4 linked regions of the Rhinolophus ferrumequinum genome follow. The protein of the gene in region 3 interacts with the protein of the main gene of each other region in a pairwise test. Links are inferred from orthologs where the notes say so. Each region holds a gene or a part of one and is shown on either strand. Other genes may lie near its edges. The genes, in order: TNP1, C24H1orf35, SDCBP2 and YTHDC1.

Region 1 (6,007 bases), on a different chromosome or scaffold from region 3:
CACACCGGTCACACCATGTGGCTTGAATTGAACTTCTCAGGCAATATCCTTGTTGTCCAGCTCAAACCTAACATAACCACTCGACTAGTAAGAGTATCAAATCCCTTAATAGTTTGCTAACCCTGTCCAATAAATACCTCTGGGTGTTTTCTACCTCTGGGTGTTTTCTACCTCCGGGACATGCCTTTAGTTTTAGTTTCATATGTGTTTTGGTGTCTCCTTATAAGTCCCTCGAAGAAGGTTGTATCCTTTAGCCCATCAACACTCTGATAAATGCAGTTCTCCCTTTTTGTCTCCTCTCCCTTTCCACGTTGGGGAGAGAGACAGCACATTGAGACCAAGACCCAAACCCAAACATGCGTGGCCAGAGTTGGGGCACATGGGGAAAAGGGAGTCAGGGCAGATTACTTTAGTATTTTCCAAGTTATGTTTAATGGTTTCATACCGGCTAATTCTTCCAAGTCTGCCTAGCTCAGGAACCCCTTTTTCAACCAAAATGTCAAAATAAACATACTTTTCAGTTTTCAGAATTTTATTGAGACATTGAGGAGAAACAGCCAACATATACATTCCTCATTTCGTCACGACTGGCATTTTACCCACACGATAGGCTCTTCTCTGGCTTTGATCTAACTTCAGGTCTCCTTGGCAGTCCTCCTGCTGTCCTCTTTGCTGCCTGGTGTTGTGTGAAGTTCACCAGGCCAGAGCCCACTGATGGGGTCACACGTGGGAGCGGTAATTGCGATTGGCTGTGGGAGAAGGACATGTTTGCAACAGGGACACCAGTTAGAACACACCCATTCATAGTCTTCCTGCCCAAACAGTTATTTGAATGGAAATGAGAGTCTCAGGCTGAGATGTCAGGGTCCTAGGAGAGCTAACTCCAAGACAGAGAGCCCTAGGGCAACAAGTCCCCACATGTTTGACTGTTCTACTCATCCCTCACTCACCATCATCGCCCCGTTTTCTACTCTTCAGGCTGCCCTTCCGGTATTTTCTTTTGCTGCCACTTCTCTTGACTCCCTTGTGAGGAGATCGGGTCTTGCCCCTCCTTATGCCATGACTCTTTAATTTGCGGCTGGTCGACATTGCAATTTCTGCAAAAATGAGGGGCTTTGCAGGGCCCGGAGGGCGCGAATCTGGGTATTTAAGGCCTTAGCCATTGTGACTGTGAAGGGGTGTGGCTTATCAGGTGGGTGAGGCTCCATTATGCTGTCACCAGCTTTTGTTACACTTGGGTCATATATGCAAAATAAGGTGGCCCCTCTAGTGCAGCTCAAGGCTACCCTCAATTTTGAGGTGATTTTTTAGGTCAAATGAGGCTTTTCAGACAGGTGTTATTGAGCAACTAAATTTCAGTCCTGTTCGGAGCTTCTGGGGAGTACAAGAGCTTTTAATATAGGTATCTCCTGCCTGCCTGTAGGAAATTTAATGGCTGTTGAGTGCCTGTATAAAATGTGTGTTTAAGTCTCTCTACGGCATTGGGAGATAACAAGTGTGTTTCTATAGGGATTTGACTCTAAGAGATCCAATTCAACGAGATTAAAACATAAACATTCCTTGCTTTCTCCTCGATCAGGGTTTCTCAGCATCAGCTCTGCTGGCATTATGGGTGGAGTCATTTTGTGGGACTGTCCTGTGCAGCGTAGGATGTTTGGCAGCATTCCTGGACTCTTCCCATTGCATGTCAATAGAGTCCCCACAACTGTGACAACCAAACATATTTTCAAACATTGCCTTGAGGGGAAAAGCAAAATCACCCATGGCCGAGAACCATTGACTTCACCTTTTAAAAAAATTCAGTCAGCAAATATTTACTGATCACATAGTATGTGTCACACACTTAGGTGATAAGACAATAGTGGACAAAAACAGACGTACGTAGACTCTGTGTTCATGGAGATTTCAATCCAGTGGGGAAGAAAGTCATTCATCTGATATCTACACCAGTCAGTGAATAATTACTTCCCTACATGGTGCAGATGAGGTGGGAGAGAGAGGCAAACCAGGCTTACGTACATTGAAAAGCCATGGAAAAATATTTAAGATGACATGACGAGATTAGAGGCTGCAGGGGGTGGGGTGGGGGTGGGGATGAATTAATGGAGAAGTGAAGTGAATGAGGGGAGAGGCTATTGTCAATAGTAGAGGTTAAGAAGAGAGAAATATTTGATAATGACTTAGGCCAGGCCAGGGAGGGTGTTGATTGGGATGAAAAAAGACAGGAGACAAAGACTTGGTGTTGATGGGTTGGATTTAGTTGGCGAGAGCAGAGGGTATCAAGGGTGGCTTTTGTTTTTTCTAATGCAGCTATCTGGAGGCTGGTGCCACTCACTGAGATAAAAGCCAAGCATAACGGCAGTGATGATCATGCATTTTAGTCTAAAACATTTTGGGTTTGAGGGGCCCTTGAGATTTCCAAATAAAGATACTGAATGATTGTTGGGTATATGTATCTAGAGTTCAGAGTAGAGCCTGAGCTGGAGATATTCACTATCCCCAACTTCCCTCAGAATGGACTCATCATCCAATCTTTTCTTCTTCCTCCTTTATATCTTGAATTGAGTCCTTTTGAAAAAAAAATTTCAGTGGAACTTGATAACTGTGTCTTCTGTCTCTCCCCTGGGTCCTTCCTTCTCTCCACGCCCCCTTCCCAACCGCCATTATCCTCTGCATCTTGTATGTAGTAGGTTCTCAGCAAAAATTGGTTGAATAAAAGTAAGAATGTGGTTCAAGCCCCACTCCCTGTATTTCTGATGTTTATAGATGAGAAGACAAATCATGTCTTGAAACCCAGATTCCTTGAAGAGCCATCATAAGTGACACTTTCCATTTTCCTGTTTCTAGGCAGGTCTCTCTGGCGAACTTCCATTAGAGATTTTTTCACCCAAAGAGGAAAGAGCTGTATGAAACAGGCTGCTGCCTTGCCTCTTTGTATCTTGGGAACTTTTCTGTCCACTCCAGGCTAATTGTTCCTCCTACAAGCAAGTTTCATGAAAGCAGGAATTTAAAAATGGTGTTCCCGGCTATATATTCCCAGGGCACAGAGTAGGAGCCCAGTGAAGATTTATGGAATATTTGTTGAATAAACAAAAAAATCCTATGTTTTGGACTATCCTAGTCTTCCCAGTTTTGTCCTACCACCCCAAGGAAGACGTCCCTGACTTTTCACATTTTCACTGTCCTTTGAAATTTTTTCAAGGTCTATGGCCCTATAACATTGTCCTCAAAGTCTGGACAACCAATGCTAATGGTGTAAAACCCTCTTTTGTGCCCACATGCCATGTCCCATGTGTGAGTCTGATCTTAACAGGAGGCAGTGTAGCTTGGTTCTGGTCCTGACTGGCCACAACCATCACTTCCCCGGACTTTGGCTCTCTTATTTTGTAAATAAGCTTGTTGGGTTAGATAATCTCAAGTCATATCACAAGATGATATGACTTGTGGCAGGCTTGTTGTAGTTAGGGATTGTATTTTTTATTTCTACACTGCATTTCTCACAGGTATTGACATGGTTCAGAGCAGGTGGTTAATAAATATTTGTTCATTCTAGCTACTTTGGTGTTATAAGGACAGACAGTACAACACTGAGTGACGTGGTATACCAAGTGGATGCATTTCCACTTCCACAGGGAAGGGAAAAAAGACATTGTCTCCATAACAGACCCTCTGGTTCTCCGTTGCTGGCCTCTCATGCCTGACTCTGTTGACTTTCCTCCTCTTTAGTTTGAGAGGCATTTTATGGATGGTCCTGAAACTGGGTAATATTTCTTTCTCCCATCCTCAAAAGACCCACTCTGCCAAGAAGAAGTTGAGATCACAGGAAAGAAGACAGCCAGACTTGAGAAGTGATGAAGAGACAAACAAAAAAGCCCTTTTCCATAGGGTTAAGGAATAGTTCTGGTTTTAGACACCCATGCTGAGAAACTCCAGCAGCAGAAAGCCCAGTGCTGGGGGAGGCAATTCAGAGGCCAGTTGGGGGTGGGGCTCTGGTGTGTTTGGGTTGGCTTCTGCATCAGACCTCCTGAAGTGAGGACAGAGCAGGGTTGAGCATTGGCACCTCTGTCTCTGTTTCTCTTTCCATTTCTGCGTCAGTGTTGCTTGGGCCAATGGCAATTTAGATAGAGCACAATGAGTTCACTCTAGAACCTCAGTGGGCCCAGAGCTAGCCTTTTTTGAGAACCTTCTGCTGACTGTCTCCTCACCTTTCTGCTCTCTGTTTTTCATTTTCTTTTTGGATGAAGAAACTGAGGTACAGATTGGCTACGTGAGCTACTTCAAGTAACCCAGAACAGGAGCAGAAGAGACACCCAATAAACCTGTTTACTCCATACTTTGGCTTTCTGTTGGGTCTTTGCTTTTGTTTCTCTTGATGAAAGAAAATCGATATTTTCTGATAGTTATTGGTACATGGAGAGAGAACTGAATCCCTGCCTTCTTTAGAGGAGGGTCTATCAGCTTCTTCTCTCTTGGGGGTGAGTGTTATCTTGCCTGGACAGAATAGTGTCTTTATCTCCTAGAAGGATGGCTAAAGTGGCACTGCAGGGACGGGCTTGGAGACCACCATTGTTCCCTCTGGCCCCTTTCATAGGTTAGAAAGGGATGGACTTTGGGCATCACTGTTTTGGATCTCTGGTTGGTCCCATCTCACCTCTTTGATTCAAAATCACTCCATTAATTTTTCTGGGGAGTCCAATGGACGTCTTCTTCCTAGGGCTGGATTTTCCCAGCAGGCAGGGAATGGGAGCTCATTAAGCGTGAACATGGAAAAGTTGCTGACAGTCCTGATACATGACTCAGTCTGAATCCCTCTCTGAAACCTAAGTCTCTCCAGATGTTGACCTCAGCTGGGAAAGGGGGACCTTCTCCCCTGTTCACATGCACACCCTGTCTTCTGTGCTCTTGCTGCTGTTGCTGCTGCTGCTGCTATTCAGGCAGGCAAATGGGGCTTGGGCAGTCTTGAGGAGGGGAAAGATGCCTAGAGAGGGGTCTACCCAAGAGGCAAAACTCTCTGAGCTCAGTACTCATCTGGTGTCTCCAGTAGGAAGTAAAGAGAAGCCAGAGCCCAAGGCCTAGGGTGATTTTCAGAGAAAAAGGAAGGCGGTACTTTAACTCAATTTGCCTCTTCCTATCCAGTTCTGGGAAACAAGGGACCATCTCGGTTCTGAGAACAGCCTGAGTTCTGTCTGAAGATTTGTTGGAGTTCTTTCCAATTTTTCCTTCAGGGTTCTTTCCCATCCTTTCTGAGTGCATCCCCAAACTGTCTTTCTGTAAGTGATTCCTGTTTTCCAAGGATAGAGAGATTGGGATGCTGAAAGGTGGGAGACTCATCACAAGAGCTGTGACCCTGGGAGGTTCCTCCTGGGCACCATCCTTTTGGAGGTCATCAGGCCTGTCTAAGGGCTGCACCCAGGCAGCTCGAGAGCCACAACATCAACAATCAACAGGATTGTTGATCCCCAAGACGGAGACTGCCCACCACTCCATACTACCTTCCGTACTTGGCTTAAAAATAGATCTGACCTTGACTCTCCACTCTATTTGCATTTTCTCTTACATGTGCTACTAGGAGCAGAGTGAAGGAATCTAAACTGAAGGGAGAGGGAGAACTGGGAAAAACTAGTATGTTCTTAGAGGCAGGGCATGAACTTGGAGGTCCTCTGGATAAATTTAAAATTCTCATTTGGAGAGAATTCAAACTTCCCTTAGTTCTGTTGTTGTTGTTGTTGTTATTTTTGGACTCAGGAAAAATTGACTATTTCCATTTCTTTTGTCACCACTAACAATGAGGCCACATGATACAGAAGTATACAAAGAAAACCCACAATTTATTCTTCATTAGGATCCAAATAATGTTTTCCACTCTCCTGACCCCACTGACCTAATCCCCATCTATGACATAGTGAAGAAGAAGCTGTCCCTTCCCAGAATACACTGGGAATATAGTGCCCTCCAGCCATAAGACAAAACATAAGGCTGCATCCGAGAGTGTTAGAAATGGGTTGTT
Region 2 (7,773 bases), on a different chromosome or scaffold from region 3:
TTTGGGGACGTGATTGGGTCTGTGGCTTTCTTCCGGGCTAGGGTTTGAGGAGGATCAATTAGGTAGAAAAGCCTGCCTGTTAAAAAGATTTCCTTGCCCAGCAGGTTTCACGCTGCGCCTGTGACTGACCGTGGGCCTCCACATACCTCAGGGGCCCTCAGGAGGAATGGCAGCCATAAGCAGCCGGCTTGGGTAAGCACAAACTTCCACACCCCTTGGGATTGCTGTCATGGGGCCACCCAAAGGAACACCCACTCGGGCTTCAGGCCGTGCTGCCTGAAGGAAGCTTCCTGAGCCAGTGTGTTTATTTGGATAATATGCGCAAGTTCACGTGTGGATGACTTGACAAGGTGTCAAGGGAAGAATGGAAGCGACTTTTGACTTCCCAGCACCAGATATACACCTTCCTGTTCAGAACCTACAGCCGAGCCCAGCTCTGGGTCCCTGTAGGGGCCGTGGCCTTCCTGCTGTTCCCACCAGAACTGCTTCCCCATCTGCCCAGTGCCCTGGTCCTCTGGCCTCCCCCAAATGGGAAGCATAGTGTGGCCAGTGTTGCCAGAGGAGGAAATGAGGGCAGGATTCATGTTGTTTCTGTGGAATATGGGAAGAGGGGTGCAGCACTTGAAGCCTGAGTCAGTGTGGAGAGGGGAAGGGACTCTGGCAGCAGTGTTCCCTGGGGGGCCCTCATCCTGGTAAAGGTTCAAGTGGGAACCACTGTTATAGTGGGAGGACACCACCATCTCCTTTCTCCTGTCTTGCACTTCTCAAGGCAGGGACTGAATTCATTTGGCCAAAATTTATTGAGCGCTCAGCTCAACAGGGTCTGGGACTTAACAGTAAATAAGATGCAGTTCTTGCCCTCTGGCCATTAGAGTCTAGCAGAAGAGATGGGCCCTCCGCCCCCAGTGTTAGCTGGGAAGTACAGGGGGTGGGTCTGAATCCAAGTTTGCTTGAAAGCTAGAGTGGAGGGGACTTTGGGGGTCACAGGGCAAGGCCCCAAGTGGGTGCGACAGGTGGACGGTGGGCCTTGCCCTTTCCTGTCATCTCAGAGCATGTGCTCTGCCGTGTGCGGGTCTCAGTGTCAACCGTGTTCAGAAGCTGAGTGGCTTCCAGGGGTCTTGGTGTGCTCAGCCTGCCCCAACAGAACATCAAAGAGCAGGCAGCTTGTTTCCCACAGTTCTGGAGCTCTTTCTTCCTGGATCACAGACAGCCGCCTTCTCCCTGTGTCCTTACAGGGCAGACAGAGCAAGCGAGTTCCTGTCTTTTATAAGGGCACCAGTACCACTGGGGGGGCCCACTCTCATGGCCTCATCTAATCCTAATCAGTTCCCAAAGGCCCTGCTCTTGATGACATCTTATTGGAGGTTAGCACTTCAACATGTGAATTTGGGGGCACAAATGTTCGGTCCACAGCACCAGGTCTGCCGTCCCTGGAAGGCAGCTTCCTGCTCCATGCTCATGTCCAGGGTTCCACACATCCAGAGACTGCTGGCCTGAGCCCTCTGTCCACAGCTGTCTGGGAGCCTTGTGTGCTCAGCTCCTGCAGCCTCTTCCCAGACATGGGGTAGGAGCTGCTCTGACCACATTCCACATCTTGGGGGTCACTGCGTGCTCCAATATGCGCTGGCTGGCCTGGGCTACGTGGGCGCTCTGGTCCAGCTGACCTGCCGCTGACCAGTGTATGTGTCTGCAGCCTGCTGCCGCAGTGTGTGGTGACAGGGGCCGTCCCTGTGTGCCGTTGCCTACACACATCCGCCTGGTGGGCTGACAGCAGCAGAGCTTCGCTCACACGTGTGCACAGACAGGCCTATGCTCGCCTCTACCCTGTGCTTCTGGTCAAGCAGGACGGCTCCACCATCAACATCCGCTACCGGGAGCCCAGACGGATACTGGCGGTAAGCTTCCCTCCTTGGGGTGCAGGTCCCATTGGGCTCAGAATCACTGTGGCTAGAAGGGAGAGAGGAGTGCTGGCAAGTGACAGAGCAGGATTGTTATGGAGAGGAGGAGGGTGACACAGCTCATTCCATGCGCCAAGTTCAGACAGCAGCAACAGGCTGTATGCAGAAAAAAACACGTCCTGAGTAAACAAGCAGAAGAAATTTTTTTAAAGCGTAGCTTTGAAGGGAGAGAAGGGGAGGTCCGAAGACCCTTCTGGTCCCTTCCGCTGAGTACACGTCTTCCCTCCACAGATGCCAGTGGACTTGGACGCTCTCTCCCCAGAAGAGAGGCGGGTGCGGCTCCGCAAACGTGAGGCCCAGCTCCGAGACAAGGAGGAGGAGCCGGAGCTAAGTGATAACTTTGACCTGGAGCAGTACAAGCAGTTTTGGACCAAGAAGTGACCCTGTCCCCAAGCTGCCCTCGCCTGTGATGCTGCTGAAGGGGAAGGGTGTTTATCTTTCAATGGAATGTCAGCATTTTAAAACCACCTAGTCTTTTCTTCTCATGCACTAGCTGGAGGCGGGTTCTCTGCTTCCGAGCCCCCTGGTGGGCTTAGAATTGGGTCAAATTGTGGTTTTAGGACAGTCCTCAAAGGGCATATGAGCTGTGGACATAACTGATGTCCTGGGTGCTCCTCCCACTGTCGGAAGCGCCCGCTACCGCCCAGCAACCCTCTGGGCCCTGGATCCCCCTCTCAGTGGGTACAGCAACTGGGGAGTGGGTAGGATCCAAGGATATGTGTGCCTATCCTGTACCTTGCCTGCCCTGCCCCTCACTTGGGCTCCTCAGTCCTGTCGGCTCGCAATGGGAAGGTGCTTGGCCCATGGGAGGGGCCGAGGGGTGCGGCCAGCCCTGTTACTAACTGCTCTCAGATCTTACCTACCAGCCAGACTTTCTTTCCACAGTGGGCTGCAGCCGTCTGCCTCAGGGGTAGGTTTCATGCTGGCTGGGCTTCCTGCAAGAACTGAGGGGTCAATTCCCAACCTTTCATGTGCAGGTGACCCAGCCCAGGCCTGCACCTCATCCTATCCCGAGGGGTTGAGTGTGGGATCCTGGCTGTTAGGCTCTTTAAACCTTGAGGGCCCATGATAGAGTGCTGCCATTTACATGGTGGGGAAGGCATTCCAGGCATGAGTTGGGAGGCAGCAGCCTGTGGGAAGTAACCCCGCTTCTGATGGCGGCTCACAGGGAAGGATGCTGGGCTGAGCACCCGGTCCTAGCTGCAGTCCTCCCGCTGGTCCACTGAGCACGCCAGCTGGCTGTGTGCAACTCCTGCGGATGTCTGCCCTGCAGGCTCTGCTGGCCTTCTGGCCTGCTCAGGGGCATTCCCACGTGGGTGACCTTCCCGGAGCCCTTATCCTTCCAGCTGCTGCCCCAACTCCCTGCTCACCAAGTACCTTGAGAGATGCCCAACAGCAGTGTTTGTACTTGCTGTTTAGGGCCAAGTTATTCATGACATTCGTTGAAGGTGGCAAGGCAGGCCTTACCAGAGTACGGCCGTGGCTATGGGCGCAGTGGGGGGGAAGAGGCTGAGTACTACTCTGACAAGTGGAAATTTGTGTGAGGCGCAGGACGGGGTTGCTGATGGGAAGTTACTAAGAGGACCCACCCCAGTGGGAGTGCTGGCTAAACCCACCTAATGGGATTGTTGGTGTTTTTTGTTTTATTTTTTTTACAGTTAGTTGATATTTAGTATATTTTGGGTGTAATGGAATTGTTGAATGCAGGCAGGCAGATCAGATGTCCACGGGGAATGAAGAACCAGACTGGATACGGAGGGTGGGGGTTCTTACCAGAGCTGGCAGTGCAGAGATGGATCCGGAGGTCCAAGGCCTGGTTGGAGAGCTCTAGAGAGCCTGAGTGGTCAAGCAGAATCCCATCTGTACTCCTTTGTTGGGGGTGGGACCTCCCTGCTGCCTCTCTGATGCAGCCTGCGTCCTGTCATGTCACCCGCCTTGGGAGGTTACTTTGCAGTGGACACTGGTGACCCCCAGTATCCAGACCTGGGTTGGGCCTTCCCCAGGGGGCAGCGGGCTGGGGTGAGATGGGGTAGCAGGCTTAGAGCTGACCCTGCCGCTCCCAGTGCCTCGCAAGCCCCTCTACCAGCATCTCATCCTTGTCGGGCATGGCAGTACTGCCTCTGCAACAGCTCTCACCCACCGCAGCTGCCCTGTGATGCTCCACGTTTCCCACCGCAGCAAAGCTGGGACCCTGCAGAGGGCACACCTGTGGCTTTGGACCTGCTGTCCCATGCTGGAAGCCCCCGACTAGGTGCAGGGACAGGTCTGGAGCTCCCATGTGGGGAAACCGAGACCAAAACTTGACTTAGTGGTAGTGCAGGGCAGGGTTGGGGCTCAAACCGTTACTTTGTCACTGGGAGCTCCAAAACCTCAAAAGCAAGTGAGGGAGTCAACGGGAGGCGGGTCAGGAGAGCAGTTAGGGACTCTTCGTTGTCCTCCACTGAGTACCTGGGGTCTCGTGAGCGGGACACGCTAGAGCAGCCTCCTGTAAGAACCCGTACAAAGGACAGTGTAGAGCAGGGGATGGTAATTAGACCATTAGACCGCTGTCTCCAAGTCCGGTCTGTGACCAGCGATGGTGACAGGCGAGACGCATTTGTACGTCGACCAGCCCGCTGAGCCATCAGCAGTTAGCAGCAGGTGTTCGTGTGGAACCTCTGCCAGGGCTTGGGCGCACTTTCTCCCCGGCGTTGCTGCAGACCAAGAGCAGTGCCATGTGCGTCCACGCCCCTGTGACCACAGCAGGGTCCCCACACCGTGTCCACCCCTTGGCTCCCACAGCCGCGGACGTGATGGCAGAAACCTTGGTGCAGCTGGAGACTTGTCTCTCCAGCTGTTCTCCGGGGTTGCCCGTCTGCTGGATCCGGCACACGGCGCACACCAGAGACTGTGACTTTTGGGCACCGACCCTGGATCCTGGCGTCACCACACAACGTGACTTCTATAACGGCGGTCGTGCCAGCTGGTCTCGGGTTTAGCTTCGGGGCTTTGCCCGCGCGGTCCGGAGCGCTGCGCACGCGCGAGCGAGGGTGGGGACAGTGCGCAGGCGCGAACGGCGACGCGGCTGGCGCGGGCATGACGTTACGGCGAGCGACGTAGGCGCCGGAGCAGGCGCCGCGGTGGAAGGGGAGAAGGTCCGGGGGCGGAGGGTCGTCGTGCACCATGTTCGGCTCCAGCCGGGGCGGCGTGCGCGGGGGACAGGACCAGTTCAGCTGGGAGGACGTGAAGACCGACAAGCAGAGGGAGAACTACTTGGGTGAGCGCGGGTGTTGGGGGTGCGGGACGCAGGGGTGGTGGGGCGCAGAGCTGCGGTCTCGGGGGTCGGGGGCGCGCCCACCCTCGCGCCAAGGACTGGCCTCCGTCCTCGCAGGCAACTCGCTGATGGCCCCGGTGGGCCGCTGGCAGAAGGGCCGCGACCTCACCTGGTACGCCAAGGGCCGGGCGGACGGCGCGGGACTGAGCCGGGAGGAGGAGCTAGCGGCCGTGAGGCAGGCGGAGCAGGAGGCGCTCATGGCGGCGTTGTGAGTGCACCGGGGCTGGGGACCTCCGAGGGGCGGGGACGCGGCGGGGGGCCGAGGCGAGGCCCGCCGCCCGTGACGCTCGCGCGCGGTCCTACAGAGGCTACAAAAACGTGAGGAAGCAGCCCACCGGCCTGAGCAAGGAGGTGAGGAGCAGCCCTGAGGGGGCGGGGTGGGACGGTCTGGGACCGGGCTGACCCGTGCCGCCCTCCCTCCCGCAGGACTTTGTGGAGGTCTGCAAGCGGGAAGGTGGTGACCCCGAAGAGAAGGGAGTAGACCGGCTCCTGGGCCTGGGGAGCTCGAGGTGTGCACCGGGGGTGCTCCTGAAGGGCGGGGGCTCAGAAAGCGCCAGGGTGCAGCTCTTAGGGGCTCGGACCTGTCAGCTGCCTAGGTGGAAGGTGGTACCCGCTAAGGAGGCCTTGGGGGAGGTGTCTTACGGGGGAGGGTCTCACCCGTGTCCCCGCAGTGGCTCCGCAGGCCGAGTGGTGTTGTCCCGAGAAGACAAGGAGGCGGCTAAGCTGGGGCTCTCCGTGTTCACGGTAATCACTTCTAAGTGGGATCTCGTGGCCGGGTCTGTGTACCTCTTCCCGTTGAGGGCCAGGGTATGGGCTGTCTCTCGTCTCCCCTCGGGGGCCCTCCCAGCTTCTTGGCCTAGGACACCGGGTCTGGTTCTCCCTGGGGAATCTTGCACGCCTCCAAGAGTGGCTCCCTCGGCAGCACCACCGCATGGAGAGCAGTCGCCCAGGGGCCTCGCCGTCCCGGAAGAAGCCCCGGCTGGAGGAGAAGGCGAAGGCAGAGCTGGGGTAAGGGCTGGCTGAGTGCCACAGGACTCGGGGTTCTCTGCACAGCTGGCTCCCATTCGAGTCGGTGATGTTTTTGTTTCCAGATCCCTTTTCCTTCTGGGGAACCTCTCAAGGTTGTGACCCCAGGGCAGTCCCAGGCCTCGTGTCCATTGAGGTCAGGCAGCACCATGTTGTGAGCTGCAGGGTGGAGGGGCTCTGGAGACCGAGTGAGGCGTATGGGGTTCAGGAGAGCACACCACCTGGCAGGGAGGGTGTTAAAAGGGGCCATGAAAAGGCCCCTATCTGTGTCCCCTACCATGCTAGCTGCTGGTCATGTGATACTGAGGATGGGTCAGTGGTTACTGTGGTGGCCCGCACAAGCCTGTAGGCCCCACACCCTGTGAGACCCCTATAGGCCAGCGGCTGCTGGCACTCTGTATCCCCCTTGCAGCTCTGAGAGCCACAAGAAGAGCAGAAAAAAGAAGAAGAAGAAGAAGAAGCATAAGAAAGAGAAGAGAGAAAGGGAGCGCAGGACGGGGGCAGCTTCCTCACTGTCCGCGGCTCATGCCCGGTAGGTGCAGCAGCTCTGCCTGGAGGCCCTGGGAAATTGGGCCAGACAGTGGGTGGCCCCTCACACTGGGCATCCCCTGCTCTCCCCAGGGCCCGCCATCGTAGACACGACTCCGACTCGGCCTCGCCCTGCTCTAAGAGGCGGTGAGGGCACGACAGTGACAGGCTCAGCCCACCCCAGCCAAGTGCTGCCCTCAGGGAAGCCTCAGCATGTGCCCTGCCAGGCCCAGGAAGCTGGAGGGCAGACTTGTGGGGGCCCTGCAAGCAGGCAAGGTGTCTGGGTGAGGCCTCAACCTCAGATGGCCACAGGCCCACACAGCTGCCCAGGTCCAGCTTCCCTAGGTCCCAAGAGTCTAAGCTGTGACCATGTACTGCTTTTTGTGTTGACCCTCCTTTTGTATTTAAATAAACTTATTTTAAGTGGAAAATGTCTCATATTGAAGTGAAGGTTGTCGTGTCCTCCAATAGAAAGTGATGAGTGAAAATGTGGCAAGTGCCTTGGGTTCCAGCAAGACCACCCGAGACCCCACAGGGAGGATGACTTCCTGTTGTGCAGGAGGGTGGAGGGACTCAGCTGCAGGTGGGCAAGTGCAGAGAGGCGCAGCCAGATGGGGTGTTTGTAAGTTGGAGGGTGGGGGGCAGGAATTGTACCTGAAGACACCCTCATTCCCCAGGCACCTCCTGCCCTGGTCCCATGCCGCCCTAATTGCCTGCTGAGTCCGCTCTGCTGCTCCCAGGTTGGGTGGAGTTCCAGGTGCCCCCCCCAGCTCTTCTGCCAGGAGGTGTGTTTTAGCCATTCACCACCCCATTCACAGAAGAAATAAAAACTTAAATCTTACATCTGCATCGGAGTAAAGACAAAACCCAAGTTGGATTCACTTATGAAATATATTCAATTTTGCTTCTGATTTTTAAAGAAATAAAAACTAAAAATGATTGTCTTTA
Region 3 (6,920 bases):
AATCCTCAGTGCTGAGCCCAGTGCCTGCACCCAGCAGGCATCTAGGTACTGTTTTTAAGGGAGTGGAAAAGCAGATACAGGGAAAAGAAAGCCCAAAAAAGTCCTTTGGAAAAAAAAACCCTGGGCCTAGAAAAGGAGAAAAATCACTGGGTTAATGAAGCAGATTGAAAGGCTACCTCCTACAATCTGACGATGGAAGAGTGCTCAAGAGTTTTCTCAGTTTGGTGCTGATGGATTCCTGCAATTTGCCTCTGAAAGGAAAAGAACCCATCTAACCCATCTCTCCCAGAGAAATTTTCCTCACCCACTGCATTTTCCAGAATTTTCCTCCCTCAACTTCTGTACTTTTTGATATTATGAGCAATAACAATACCCAAGCCAGCAATCAGGTCCTCAAAGATCAGCAGGGCTGAAGCGGGGTTGTCAGTCCCCATCTTTGGACTTGGAATGAGAACACTCCTCTGGAACACTTTGTTCCAAAGAGCTGAAACTAGGGGACTCCCACTTGTTCCTGTGGACAACTCATCCATCCTTCAGAAGACTGTGCGGGAGGGATGCGTAGGTTAGACTGTCAGAGGAATAGCTCCTGGAAGGCCAAATTAGCCCAGGGAAATGGTGAGTCGGAAAGAAAGAGGCTGTTGCTAGGCCACCAGTACATATCCACCACCTCCTCCCAGCGTGTACTGCCTGCTGGAGAAAAGCTGTGGACTTCTTCAGGAATGCAGACACCCCCGAATCCAGGCCCAGGAGAAATGGCAGGAGCAAGGACCTTGGAGGGAAGCAGGGAGGACCGGGTTCAGATTGCTGCCTCTGACTTGTGAGAGCAAGCATGGACAAGTCCCTTTTGAATATCATTTCTTCTTTTGTAATATAGATAACAATACTTGCATCACAGAGTTATTGCGGAGAGTAAAAGATTCTTTAAAAGAGATAAGCTATAGGGGCGGCCGGATGGCTCAGTTGGTTAGAGTGTGAGCTCTGAACAACAGGGTTGCTGGTTCGATTCCCACATGGGCCAGTGAGCTGCGCCCTCCACAACTAGATTGAAGACAACAAGCTGCCGCTGAGCTTCTGGAGGGGCAGCCAGATGGCTCAGTTGGTTAGAGTGCGAGCTCTCAACCACAAGGTTGCCGGTTCACTTCCCACAAGGGATAGTGGGCTGCGCCCCCTGCAACTAAAGATTGAAAATGGCAACTGGACTTGGAGCTGAGCTGCGCCCTCCACAACTAGATTGAAGGACAATGATTTGGAGCTGATGGGTTCTGGAGAAACACTGTTCCCCAATATTCCCCAATAAAATTTATATTAAAAACAGAAAAGCTATGTGTGGAAAGCACTTAGCACCGTACCTAGCACATAAAGGCCACATAAAAGCCATGCAGTAATCATTAGCTGTTGTTTAGCTGTTGTTCGTTCAGTACATTTACTGAGTGCCTAAGTCCCAGTACTGTTCTAGGTACCAGTAATAAGGGGTACCAGTAATAAGGCAGTGAACTGGGGCTGGCCTGGTGGCTCAGGCGGTTGGAGCTCCGTGCTCCTAACGCCAAAGGCTGCCGGTTCGATTCCCATATGGGCCAGTGGGCTCTCAACCACAAGGTTGCCGGTTCGACTCCCGCAAGGGATGGTGGGCTGCGCCCCCTGCAACTAACAACGGCAACTGGACCTGGAGCTGAGCTGCGCCCTCTACAACTAAGACTGAAAGCACAACAACTTGACTTGGTAAAAGTCCTGGAAATACACACTTCCCCAGTAAAGTCCTGTTCCTCTTCCCCAATCTGCCCTTGAGGAATGTTGCTTTCTAGCTGGATAAATAAGTGTGTATGCTGTGTTAGATGGTGGGAAGTGATGGGGAAAAAGATAAGGGAAGATGTAGGCCAGAGAGCTTGGGGAGGTCCAGAGAGCCTCACTGCTGGGGGGTGAGGGGTGACAAGTAAAAGCCTAAAGGGTAGGGAAGAGCATTCAGTCTGAGGGCAGAGCCACTGCAGCAGCCCTGAGGTGGGAGTGCTGCGTTTAGGGAACATCTGACCAGTGCGACTGAAGTCGGTGTTTCAGAGGGAAAGTAGCAGGAGAGGAGGTTGGGGAAGTAGTGAGAGGGGCCAGATCCTGGAGGGCTGTGGGTCACAGCAACGACTTCACATTTACTCCAGTGAGATGGGAACCACCAGAGACTTGAGCACCAGAGTGATGTGGTCCAACTTTCATTTTAACAGGCTCCCTCTGGCTAATGTTTGGAGCATAGACTAGAGGAGCCAGCGTGGATGCAGGGAGTCCAGGTGGGAAGTGATGGCGGTGTAAGGATAGTTATTAGTTTGGGCCCCTGCACATAAAGCAGCCAGTGCAGTGCCCGCCTGGCACATGAGCCTTGTTCTAAGCACTGTTTCTGGGACTCAGCTGTGTGGAGGGCACATCCTGGCCCCTTATCTCCATTCTCTCATTCAGTTCTCCTGACGGGGGATATTTCCAGTCTCCAAATGAGGAAACCAGTTCTTAAAGAGGTTAAGCCACCAACCCAGTTCCCCAGCACGTTTTCCTTGCGTGGTAGGGAAGTTGTTGATAGAAACAGCTTCAGGCAGAGAAGTAGCAGACTGGCACTCTCAGTTCCTTGTGAAAATTGGCTTTTTGCCTGGCCTTTCAAGGAGCAAAGAAAGGTGGGTCCCATCTCCTTGAGCACCCTCAGAGGCAGTCAGAAGGAGCCTGGGGCCATCGTCTGAATAAATAACCTCTCATCCCTCAAACCTGGCCCAGGGCTGGGGTCAGAAGAGGAACCCCAGTTTACACATCACTCCCAGAGTGAAGCACCTTGAAAGGAAACTGCCTGGGAAGTCCCAGGAGGGGGAGACAGGGGGAGAGCAAGTCTCTCTCATCGCAGCCCAGCCCATATGGGGGCCCCGGATCTTACCTGCAGGCTAGAGCTGCTGCACGTCCTTCTCCTGCCACTGCTGAGAGAGTCTGTTTCCCTCCCTGGAAGGTGGTGGCCCTTGTCCCAGCTGAGTTCCTGCTCTGGGAAGGGTGGTGCCCGCTCCCTGATCAGCTGACTCACCCAGGACTGGGACAGGCCCAGGTAGTTCTCTGTGGCTGGGTAAACAGCAGGTCACCAGGCCCAGAGGAGGACTTTTGGCTTAGTCTAAATGTGGAGGCGCGGTAGCTGTTGAGTTTGAACTAAGCTGTCTTGGTGTTGAGGAAATCATACTTGGATCAGACGCCAGTCCTGAACATGAGGGCAGTTTTTTGAATTTCCACAGTCTTAAAAATTGTGACCCAGCATTTTCTCTTCTAGGAATTCGTTACAAGAAAATAAATAGGTAGGCAGTGAGGTCCCAGGGCCCACCACCATGTTGCTGATAATAGGGAAATCTAGAATCCCAAATGCCCATCACAGGTGTGGTTAAATAAGTGTCTGGAATATCAGCACAGCTATCAGAGTCATTTAAGGAAGAAGCCATAAGGAAGTGGCCCTGAGACACTGGCAAGGTACTGAGAAATCAACATTGTGATACTGTGTTTTGTTTTCGTTGTTTGAAAAGTGGGTATGTATTGAAAACAGTCTGGGAGGGCATATACTAAAATGCTGAAATCTGGATGGTGGGATTACGGGTAGGGTTTTTGGCTTGTGCTTTTGGATGTATTCCAAGGTGGGGGTGTTGTTTTGTTTTGCTTTGAATGCTTATGATTTTTGTAAGGGGAGAGCAAATTAAATTTAATTGTTTTAAAAAGGAATTCAGATTGGTTGTCCCCAGTAAGGGGAACTGAAGGGTTGTGTGCTGGGTGGGAGGGGACTTTTTTTTTTTTTTAATAGCACACATTTTAGTGCCTTTTACATTTTGAAAAATTTGTACTACTGAGCCCAAAAAATAATCATATAAAATTAAACAGAAAAGGGGGAGGGATTTAATTTAGGTCCTGGTAGGTTCGGTTGTACAGAGGTGACTGTCACACATGGTGCCTGGGAAGAGACTGGGACCACGTGCTGGGAAGTCCCTTCCGAATGACACAGGGCGCCCCACTCACAGGGTGGGGTGAGTGTCAGGGCTGCTCAGCAGGCCAGGCAGGCCCAAGTCACCGTCCCCAGGACAAGCCTGGGTGGAGTTGCACTAGCTTTGGGCACCACATCCTGACCAGGGGCCCAGCTGGTGTCCGGCCCCATGGGAGGGGATAACAGGAAACATAACAGGAACAGTAATGGCAAGAAAGGCAGTTGCCACTAATTGAGCACTTTGCCCACCGAGCAACAGATACTGCGTCAGGTGCTTTCAAGGCAGCATCTCCGTGGCTCCTTTCATCCCTGTGAAGCAGGCGTGAGAGGAGAGTCCCTCCGTGTTACACAGCTGGAAAGTGGCGCCAAGGTCACGTTTTCTCTTCTGTGAGACAAATGCCACTTGAAGCTGAGGTGTGGACACACGCCAGGGCTGAGCCACATGGTCCTGGAACATGAGGTAAACCATGGTGACAGGTCTTGAAGGCCAAAGAAAAGTATAAAACAGACACCCTGACAGAACCAAGTGACATCCCCCCACATACACACACAGAGACCACAATTCATTCAGCCATGTTCTGAAAGGGCCTTTAAGAGAAGAAGGAAAAGGACTTGCTGTGGTCATAGCACATCAGCATAGACCTGGGACCAGGTCCCAGGTCCCCGAACCCCACCTACGCGGGGCTCTCTTTCCATTCCGTGGTGTTCTAGCCACTCCCCTGACTTCACCCTGTTCCAACCACCAAAAAGTACCTTTCATTGGGCATAACCTTGCTCAAAGTCTTCAGTGGCCCCCTATTAAAGGGTCAAATCAGGTGGGTTAGGGTCAGAACTAAATTCCCAGGCCTGACATTGAGGCCTCCGTGGTCCCCACCCCTCTCCCGCCCCTGTGGCCTTTTCAACCTTGTCCCTGGAGCACCTCTACCCCAGCCAGACTGGAATCCTCTCCACTCACACCCGCTTCACACCTTCATACCTTTGCCTGGTGCTGTTGCTTCCAGTATGTCTCCCCCCTGCCCCCACTCCACCTAGCCAAGTCTTCTGAGCTCCTCTTCCAGGAAGCCTCCCTGGTTGTCCCCGTCATGTGGCCTGTCCTGCCTCTAAACTCTGGATCAGACTTTACAGTTCGTTCTTCAGTGGTAATCACCTTGTGTTCATGTGGAGTGTAGACTGTCAGCTAGACCCTAAGTTCCCTGAGGGCAAAGCCTAGTTATTAGATCTACAGTGGTAATTTTCAAAGTAAAAGTTGGAACCTGTGCTCTGACCGGGATGTATTTCTGCTTTCTTACACTTTTTTATGAACAATCTTCAGAAATCTAAAACACGGGTGTCTACTATTCAGCCTACACGCAGAAATGCCCTAACAGCACCCCTGGCAGACCTGAGTAATCAGCCACGGTACTCTCCGCCAAGCCCAGGGCTGACTCAGTCCTCTTACAAGAATGTCACAGGCAGCTATTGCCACCTGGATTTGGCCCATGAAGTGAGACCTCTGTGCCACCCAATGGATGCTCCATGAGGACAGGCTTTTCTGTGGGGTTCTTATCCCTAGGGCCTGGCACACAGTAGGCTCAGTAAGGTGCAGTAAGTCTATTGAACGAATAAATGCCCCTCCTAGAAAAGCCAATCCCAGTTATAAAGGTAATGGCTGGCTTATTGAGGAGATAGGCTGGGCTGGGCGGGGGCATCAGGTCCGAGCCCCAGATCGGATGCTGCAGTCACCACACCTCTGAGCGACAGTTTCCACATCTACAAATGGGAATATTGGCACCTGCTTTACTGACTTGTCCTGAGGATTATTTAGTCAGTACAGCACCTAGGACGCAGCTGGCACTCAATAAATGTTAGTTTCCGACTTCTTCATGGAATCAGTCCAGCTATACGCTATAGAAATACAAGTTATCTGCAGGTGAAAATGCTCTTACCTGAAGAAGGGGGGATGAATGGTTGGCTGCTGGGTAGAGAGAAGCACCAGCGATGTGCTCCTACCCTCTACGTGGAATCTGGACGGTGCAGCAAAACCCAGGTTATGTCCCCATGGCTGTATCGTGCCATCAGATGATGACAGGGAGAGTTCCCCTTGTTGAGCAACTTCTCCACGTTGGGTGCTGTGCTGGGTATGGGATGTACCCTGATCTCTGTTCACAGCAGCCCCACATTCAGAGGGAGGCAGCCTGCCCAAGGCCGCACAGCCCGAGTAGAAAGGCCAGGTCTTGACTAGGAACTGAATGGGGCTTCCAGGGCTCCAGGAGTCTCCCATCGGGCACCGCTGGGTCCAGGTGGTCACAGGTTTCCAGGTGGTAGCCGAGGGCCCTAGTGAGCAGAGGCCCAGCGGGCTGATGGCTCACACTCCCTCACACGTGTACCCCACTTAGTCCCACCTGGTACCTCAGCCCCTATCAGAGATTCCAACTTGTAACACCGTACCCCAAGGGGACATCCTGAAGGGGGCACAGCTTATTGCATGAGCTGTGGAATCCCAGGCTGCCTGGGCTCAAATACCTCCTCTTAGGCTATGTGACCTTGGGCAAATGACCCTATCTCTCTCGGCCTTGTTTCCTCACCGGTGAGATGGGGAGAATGATTTCATTTTGTTTTTTTGTTTTGTTTTGTTTTTTGGGGGGCACAGAGAAAGTACTTGCTTAATGCCTGACTCATGGGAAGTGCTAACTAAATTTGAACAATTATATTTCCATCCACGTTATTGGATTATTGCATTGTCCAAGTGACAAAATGTATCCATTACTGTTCTAAATGTGATTGAAGATCAAACATACAGAAATTACCTGCATCCTTTCAGGATCATGAGTTTAGGTTGGACTCTCCCTGCGATGGTTACTATAGAAGCTTCCAGCGAGAGGCAGGCTAGCACCCTGAGAGGCCCCACCGCCTGGTGGCCCAGCCATCTGGGCCCTCACCTCCTCCGTTCTTCCCCTTCATTCCCCCC
Region 4 (7,915 bases), on a different chromosome or scaffold from region 3:
CTAAATCTAACCACGTTCGGACAAGTAGCTCTAGTTCATTTTTAATGCTGTATTGCATAACTGTATATGAATATAATACAAATTATCTATGCAATTCATGTTGTATTTCAGGCCTGAGTATGAATGTGTCACACTTTATTGATTTATGTATCGCTTTGTCTTACTAAGTACAACTCTGTCTTGTTTACTATAGTTTTATAATAAGTCTTTTTTTTTTTCCAAGTCAAGTTGTCCTTTCAATCTTAATTGTGGAGGGTGCCATTCAGCTTCAAGTTGTTGTCCTTTCAGTCTTAGTTGTGGAGGGTGCAGCTCAGCTCCAGGTCCAGTTGCCATTGCTAGTTGCAGGGGGCGCAGCCCACCATCCCTTGTGGGAGTTGAACCGGCAATGCAATCTTGTGGTTGAGAGGACTCGTTCCAACCAACTGAGCCATCCGGGAGCTCAGCGGCAGCTCAGCTCAAGGGGCTGTGTTCAATTTTAGTTGCAGGGGGTGTTGCCCACCATCCCTTGCGGGAATCGAACTGGCAACCTTGTGGTTGAGAGCCCAGTGGCCCATGTGGAATCGAACCGGCAGCCTTCAGAGTTAGGAGCACCGAGCTCTAACCGCCTGAGCCATGGGGCCGGCCCTATAATAAGTCTTGAAATCAGGTAGTGCTAGTCCTCCAAAATTGTTTTGGTTTTCAAAATTGTTTTGGTTATCCTAGGTCGTTTTCATTTCCCCACAAACTTAAATTCACCTTGTCAATTTCTATAAGAAAGGCCACTGTGATTTCAATTGGAATTGCTTTGAATCTGTATGTCAGTTTAGGGAGAACTGACATCAATACTGAGTTCTCAATGCATGATGAGTAAGTATCTCTATTTAGGTCTTCTTTGATTTCTCTCAACATTGTTTTGTAGTTTTCAGTATATTTAAGTATTTTTTTATGCTGTTGTAAATGTTTTAAAATTTCATTTCAAACTGTTGGTTGCTATATTTAGAAGTACAATTGATTTTTACATACGACATTGTGTGTTAGGTATCTATTACTGTGTAACAACACACGCCTAAATTTAATGGCTTAAAAATAACTTTAGTATTTATGATCTCTCTCAGTTTCTGTGAGTCAAAAATTTCAGAACCACTCAGCTAGGCAGTTCTGGCTCATGACTTGCAGTCAAATGTTGATTAGGACTGTAATCACATGAAGACTGATCACTGAACTTGTGTAGATTGGATTTATGCTTTATAGGTACAGATCTGGGGAAAGCCCAAGTTGTTTCTGAAAATACAAGACTCTTCAAATTTTGTTTTCCCTGTGGATCTTACTGGGCATTGGTTTTAGTCTTTGAGTAGGTCATGATTAGACTTTACCTTAGGCCAAGGTCCTTATTCTTATGGTGTGGCCTTTCTGGTGTATCAGCTAGATATCAGGGGCTTGATGAGGTACTGATGAGGTCTCTCCTTAGAAGACCTAAATCTCCAAAGTTCTCTACCACTGCTCTTTCCCTAGCTTTGTTTGTGCTCTAGTATCTCTCTTCTAGTATCAACTTAACGGTGGCTTAAATCTGGTAATACTTTCGTGGTTCTTCCCTGCACATGGTTACCTCTGGGCACTTTTTATTTTATTTTTATTTATTTATTTAGTGAAAGGAATAAAATTATATTAATAATTCAAAACTCATCATGGCTACGAAAATTCTGTTAATCTTAATTCTGAATTTATACCATCAATTTAAAAGGAACTTCACCCTTCAGAATCTGCATTATATTTTAAAAATAATGTTGTCATGATCCCTGAAGTCTGAAGAGAATTGGCTGTACATTTTCAGTTTACCCCTCTTTACTTAGGAAATCATCTGCATCCATAACTAAGCCAACTAAGCCAATCTATCTAGAGTCATTTAATACTACATTTTCTGATTAATTTTACCAACAATAATTAGTAGAACAATCTATCTTTCCTGAACTACAGAAATGACAACAGTAGCTCCAGCTTATTGAACACTTAACTGCCTTTTTCTAACCCTTTTGTAGCAAATCTTTGAAACTAATTCCTAAATTCTCCTTTATAAAGACACTAAAGATTAGAGGTTAATTTCTCTAAGTCTTTATGCTTGTGAGTGGTAGAGCCAGAATTTGTACTGGCTCATTGTGACTGCAAAGCCTGTGCTCTTTATCACTACACAATCGTTGACTTGAATAAACCAACAAGGCTAGAGTTCAATCCATTATAACCTTGAAAACTTTTCCTTTTTATTAACATAATGAAAGAAAATCATATTTTTAAGAAGTTGTGCTGTATTTTTACGTAACTTTTGATATCAAAGATTTAAATATAGGATATTTACATTAAAGCTTATTTTCAATTACTTCTTAGTACTGATAGGATAAATATGGAATAGGGAAAACGTCATCTTAATATCACCTCTATTTTCTTGGCTGGTTTCTCTTGCTCTGCCTTACTTTAAAATTATTAAAGAAAATGTCAAATATTAAAAAAAAAAGGTAGAGAGTATGTCTATTCACATATGCATAACCCAGTTTCAAATCATGGGCAAGACTTATTTCATCTATACCCCCCCACCCATATCCTACTGCCCTCTACCAGTATATATTGAAGTAAATCCCAGATTCCGTATCATTTCACCTGTAAATATTTTAGTATCATGAAATTATAAACATTCTTTTCTAAACATAACTTATTACAACCAAAAAATTAACAATTCTTTCAAAATCATCAGACTTTCATTCATTGTTCAAAGCTTGCTGGTGTGTGTATTCATGTATCCAAATTGGTAGCCGAATAAGGGCCAGAGTATTAGTTTTGTAGCGCTGCTATAACAAAGTACCAGAAACTGGTGGCTTAAAATAGAAGTTTATTGTCTCATAGTTCTAAAAGATAGAAGTCTGAAATCAAGGTGTTGACAGTGCCGTATTTCTTCTGAAACCTATAGGGAAGAATCCTTCTCCTTGCTTGTCTAGCTTCTGGCTTTTGCTGGACCACTCCAAACTCCTTGAAGAGAGAAACCAGATACTACGCTATATGTATTTTTTTAACCCCAGAGCCTATAATAAATTTGGGACTGAAAAGGAATTTAATAAATACTAGTTGACTGAACAAAAGAGTAGAATATTATACAACGCTTTTATTGATTCAGCTTCTTCTTACCTAACCATTGAATATCAACCTGAATTGAACCATGGGCAGATACGCCACTTAGTACTCTTTTTATATGAAAACCATCTTGCCCACCACCCTTGCCCTTTCTCCCCTTCATCTAAGCCAAGTCTTTTATTTCTCAACTAGGCTTTATTTTCTGTTTTCCTTGACTCTTCTCTATCCTGTATCCCCTCCCCAGTCGGAACGACATGCCCCTAAGGGCTCCAATAATATCCTGAGCTTACTCTATATGAGGCAGTGTGTATTATCAAGTGGGTGGGGGCTGGAGCCAAATTCCCTGGGTTTGAGCCATATTACTACTACTCCTGATCTTCTGCACTTAATTTCATTATCACTTCACTTTCCCTTTATGTAAAATAAAGCTAGTAATATAGCTTAATTGGTTTTCTGGAAGATGAAATCAGATTGTGTAGGTCAAGCGCTCAAAACAGTATCTGGCCCACAGTAAACAACACAATTTTTAGCTGTTATTCTTACACAGTAATTCCTGTTACTTTGTTTCTTCCCTATGTTACACTAAAAATTCCTTAAAGGCAGAAGTATTGCCTGTTCACCCTTGAATCCTAAGCATCTGATACATAGCTGGGTTTTGTATTTACTGAAGTTTCTTATTTGTGTTCTTCCACTGCTTAAATAAATCTTTCCACTGCCTTCAGTTTGGTCTCAATTTGTTACAATGACCATCAAGGACCAAGACACTAGACTTTCTCTGAACATGTCATTTGTTTTCATATAACAATGTTACCTTTTTTCCCCTTCAAATTATATTTCCTTTATAAAGCCAGTTATGAAGTAGTGAAACAAAATTATTTTCATTCCTTTGGACAATCAACTTAAAGTTTCCTTGCAGATTTTACCATAATATGTAGTTAAGTAATTTTTGGTCACTTCAGGAGTTTCAATTTCTCAATAGTCTGTTTAAATCAACTGTGTACCCTAGAGCCCCCATAAATGTTTAAATCAAATCTGTTATGTGAATTACAAAGCCATTTTAAAATAAAGATAATTCATTTTCCCAATTAAAAACAAAACTAGTAGGTTTTTGTGACAAGTGAGCTGGTTGCATCCTGAGCTGCATCTGGGAAGGCCCGGCACACCAACTTAGAAAGCACATTTAGTACCCAGAGCCGGTAAAGTTGTGGGGTGCTGCCAAGGGACCGGGCCAGACTTGTCCTAATTAAATCTTCGATTCCCAGAACTGAATCAGGAGTCCCGCGGAGCGACAGAAAACATCTTTGCCCTGAGGCTGGAAGGTCCGCCAGTAGGTGTTTCAGGTGAGGAAACCGAGCTACCTAAACGCAGTAAACGCAGCCGATTACCCGTAAATAACTCACACAGCCTAATCTCTGGAAAGCCTTATTCCAGGGACATCCGGGCTGCAGGGGGCGGGGCGACGTCCTGACGTTATGTCACGTTCTCTTGCTTGTTCCGCTTCCCCGCCCCTCTCCGCACTGTGACGTTCCCAGGGAGGAACGAAGCGTAAACAGCGCAGGGCATTTCGGGAGCGGGAGTGTTTCACGCAGGAAGCAGGCTCCATTTTAGCGCCGCTGGCCGTTGCCATCTGTTTCCCTACCCTCCCTGTCGCCCCCTCCCGTCCCCAAGTCTCAACGGGTAGGCTGGGCCTAGGCCTCCGGAGGCTGGAGTGCAAGGAGGGAAAGGAGAAAGGGAAGGAACGGGGAGAAAAAGGGTGAGTCGCGAAAGGTGAGTGGTGGAGGCCAAGGTGCGAAGCGCGCAGCCCGGCGTACGGACTGACGGACGTGCCTGTGCTAGTGCTGCCGCGGCTGGGGCCCCCGCGCGAGTCGCGTCGGAGCGGCGACGGCGGCGGCGGCGGCAGCAGCGGAAACAGGAGAGGAGCAATGGCGGCCGACAGCCGGGAGGAGAAAGGTTAGTGCGAGGAAAGGTGACGGGCGGAGGCGGGGCTCGGCAGTGGGTCGGTGGAACCGCGGTTCTGGGTTGCGGGATGGGGGTTGGGAGGTTAGCTTCCCGACATGGAGCCGGTCCCCCACACCGAGACGCTTGAACTCATTGGAAGAGACCAGGCCTGCTCTTTCGTTCGGTCTCCATTTCACTTAACACTTCATCTAGCCTATGGTTTTTCTTTGATCCTAATTCTCCTGTTCACTTTCCGTTTAGCTGTCCTGGGCGCGGCTGAGAGAAGGCCTGTTCTGAGTTGCAGGCCCTTAGGTTTATTTCCTGGCAGGATTATGCGTATGTAATGCGTATTTTCAGCACATCCTTTTCTGTTAGGCTACATTTCAAAATCCCTTAATGCCACGATCAAAGCTGGTAGTCTAGTAAGTGAGCATATTTAAGAAGTCGTATGGATGGATTATTGATCTCGAGAAATACCTACAAATAACTTCAAGCTGTTTTTGTTATATGGGCAAAGTGGAAAGAATTGCCCCTTTGGTTCCTCGAATACTTATTTTGGAAGACATGACGTTTGAAAATAGATAATTGTATGAGTTAGGCCTGGCAAAAAAAAAAAAAAAAATCCTGGCCACTATTTTGATGGAAACACATTGTGTGTAGCTCCCAGAGAGTATAATCGGGAACAAATGGGTGTAATTTGTAGAGAGCTGGAGGGATAAAATCATGGAGAAATATAGGAAGAACTGATGTATCAGAATGGAACCTCGTGTCTTTTAAAACACCGACCTCAGACCTAGAGATGTGAATGAATGTAGGTCCTGGGTCAGTACATGTCTGGAGAATGGTGTAGGCTAGATGCTTCCTTAAGTTCTTTTCCAGCCCTAAAATGAGCATGATAGTCGTGGAAAGCTTGTATTTGATAAAGAAAAAAATGTTGCACAGTTTACTGCCCTGTATTTCACAGACCTACCTTCCCGTGTGCCTAATTAATTTGGGGTAGGGATTTGTTAAATGGGCTCTAGAGTCTAGTTGCACTAGGCCTGTGCTTTTTTCTTAAGTTTTCTCCTTAAATGTCTTCATACTTCAAATTGCTCTAGGATAGGGGCAAGTTTGGCAAGGGGAGAGGGTGGGAATGTTTTTAAGATATTGCTCCTATCTTAAAGCAGCTCAATGATTAGGTTATAGTAGTTTAATTTTTTAAATGAATTCTAAAAAAATCTGCATCCCCATTTTTTTGGAGAAATCAGAATGTGAACATAGGATTGCATGGTGTTAGTGAATAAAGGAAACTGCTTTTAATGAGTAAAGTCAGTTATTAAACTAGATAATTTTAATCAATAATAATTAGTCAACGTTTGATTGTTTCAGAGTGTACTCTTGTGAGCTTTGTGTATAGGAGTGGATGGACAGTGGTTGTGGTGGGTGAAAAACCAAATACAATGAGTAAAAGTCAGCACTCTGAAGAATTCATTGTTAAGATGAACGTAGTTATAAATCAGTAATAGGCACAGTAATGTACATTGAGGAAGGAAAGTGGGTGATGTTTTGAATATTTTGTGTTGGAAACAGATTTATTGATGATAATGCAGTTCAAATACATAAATTTTATAACTATAATTGGGGAGTAGAAATGCCACTTATTAGCAATACTTAGTATAAATTGTCAAGTGTTTGAAAGGCCTCACATTTGTGTAGTTTTTAAAAACTTGATTTCTATAATTGAACTTACATATTTTAAAACTTCTGATATAAGTGCTTATCTTTATAGTTTAGATCAAAGATTATCTAGATTACTGGGGAAGCTAGCAAATACAGTCCTACTAGAATTGCTTATTTAATTTTGGAATGGGAAGATTTCTAGAATAACTCATTTTGCAAATAAGGAAACAGGCTTGGGGTGTTTCACTTACTTGTTTGTTGTCACACAGCTAGAATAATAGCCAGAATTAGAATCAATACTTGACTCTTCCTTCTCATACTTGAACAAGAAAAAGTGGGAAGCTAAGTACTTACTGTCATCAGTTACTTTAAGAAACATTAGAAAATTATATAGATAACCCCTGCAAGAATCTTACACATGTCACATACCTTAGGTCCCTTTTAAATGATTTCATAAATGGGGTAAGATTTTGATAAGAAATGAGTTTAATTTGTAGAGATTTCCTATTAATCACCAAACAGTCAAAAGACTTTTGGTTATAAAGTCATTCGATTATCGGGCTTTGCACATTAGCTGTGTAATAAACACATTAAGTTCTATAATGGTCTGTGGTACCCATACTTATAAACTGAAGCCTATATAACTGGACAAATTGCCAGCTGCCTCTGATTCCTGTGGTGATTATTGGTCCCAGAAGTAGATTTGAAGGACATTGGAATGTTGGTGGTGGTAACTAATGTTAAATGCCATTCCCCCCCCGCCTTCAAGCTGTTGTTTCTATCTAGTTGTGTAGGACACAGCTCCCTGGCCCATGCTCGTGGTATTATGAGCCTTGCATTACCACCCCCAAGGCAGTCGGTCTTCCGTCATTGGTCGGCTGCTCACAGCAGCTGGTGGCAGCTCTAGCTGGCTGCTCTCACTGGCTGCCAACCTCTCATACGGGCCACCAGCTGCCCATGGCAGCACACGGTAGCCCATGCCGACCTCCAGCTGCTCACAGCAGCCCACCTCCAGAGAGAACTGTTGTTCACAATCTTAGCTATAAAGGGTGCAGCTCAATGGCCCATGTGGGAATCGAACCGGCGACGCGCTCCAACCACGTGAGCCACCGGGCTGCTCCAAATACAATTTTTCTATATGAGGAAAAACACATCTTTTATATTACAAACACCTTGTATGAATTTTAGGCTTTTATAAAGTTCTCTCCAAAGCATATACGTT

Evidence for each region.
Region 1: the proteins of SDCBP2 (region 3) and TNP1 interact in binary tests that used the Homo sapiens proteins (3 or more experiments, as listed by UniProt). The two-hybrid records come from large-scale screens. The link is inferred for Rhinolophus ferrumequinum from reciprocal best matches to the Homo sapiens genes SDCBP2 and TNP1.
Region 2: the proteins of SDCBP2 (region 3) and C24H1orf35 interact in binary tests that used the Homo sapiens proteins (3 or more experiments, as listed by UniProt). The two-hybrid records come from large-scale screens. The link is inferred for Rhinolophus ferrumequinum from reciprocal best matches to the Homo sapiens genes SDCBP2 and C1orf35.
Region 4: the proteins of SDCBP2 (region 3) and YTHDC1 interact in binary tests that used the Homo sapiens proteins (3 or more experiments, as listed by UniProt). The two-hybrid records come from large-scale screens. The link is inferred for Rhinolophus ferrumequinum from reciprocal best matches to the Homo sapiens genes SDCBP2 and YTHDC1.

The regions. Positions count from the first base shown.
Region 1 is NC_046291.1:18,127,646-18,133,652, reverse strand, and holds TNP1 (spermatid nuclear transition protein 1), read right to left. Parts: upstream 1,114-6,007; 5' UTR 1,090-1,113; coding exon 951-1,089; intron 750-950; coding exon 721-749; 3' UTR 523-720; downstream 1-522. UniProt on the Homo sapiens protein: Plays a key role in the replacement of histones to protamine in the elongating spermatids of mammals.
Region 2 is NC_046307.1:1,636,110-1,643,882, forward strand, and holds C24H1orf35 (multiple myeloma tumor-associated protein 2), read left to right. Parts: upstream 1-4,984; 5' UTR 4,985-5,120; coding exon 5,121-5,214; intron 5,215-5,328; coding exon 5,329-5,479; intron 5,480-5,576; coding exon 5,577-5,622; intron 5,623-5,697; coding exon 5,698-5,780; intron 5,781-5,942; coding exon 5,943-6,015; intron 6,016-6,118; coding exon 6,119-6,279; intron 6,280-6,709; coding exon 6,710-6,829; intron 6,830-6,918; coding exon 6,919-6,976; 3' UTR 6,977-7,271; downstream 7,272-7,773. Other genes in the region: MRPL55 (39S ribosomal protein L55, mitochondrial), read left to right, coding at 167-192, 1,694-1,895, 2,190-2,339.
Region 3 is NC_046306.1:24,039,481-24,046,400, forward strand, and holds the start of SDCBP2 (syntenin-2), read right to left. Parts: upstream 3,003-6,920; 5' UTR 2,900-3,002; intron 1-2,899.
Region 4 is NC_046288.1:27,395,432-27,403,346, forward strand, and holds the start of YTHDC1 (YTH domain-containing protein 1), read left to right. Parts: upstream 1-4,913; 5' UTR 4,914-5,018; coding exon 5,019-5,046; intron 5,047-7,915. UniProt on the Homo sapiens protein: Regulator of alternative splicing that specifically recognizes and binds N6-methyladenosine (m6A)-containing RNAs.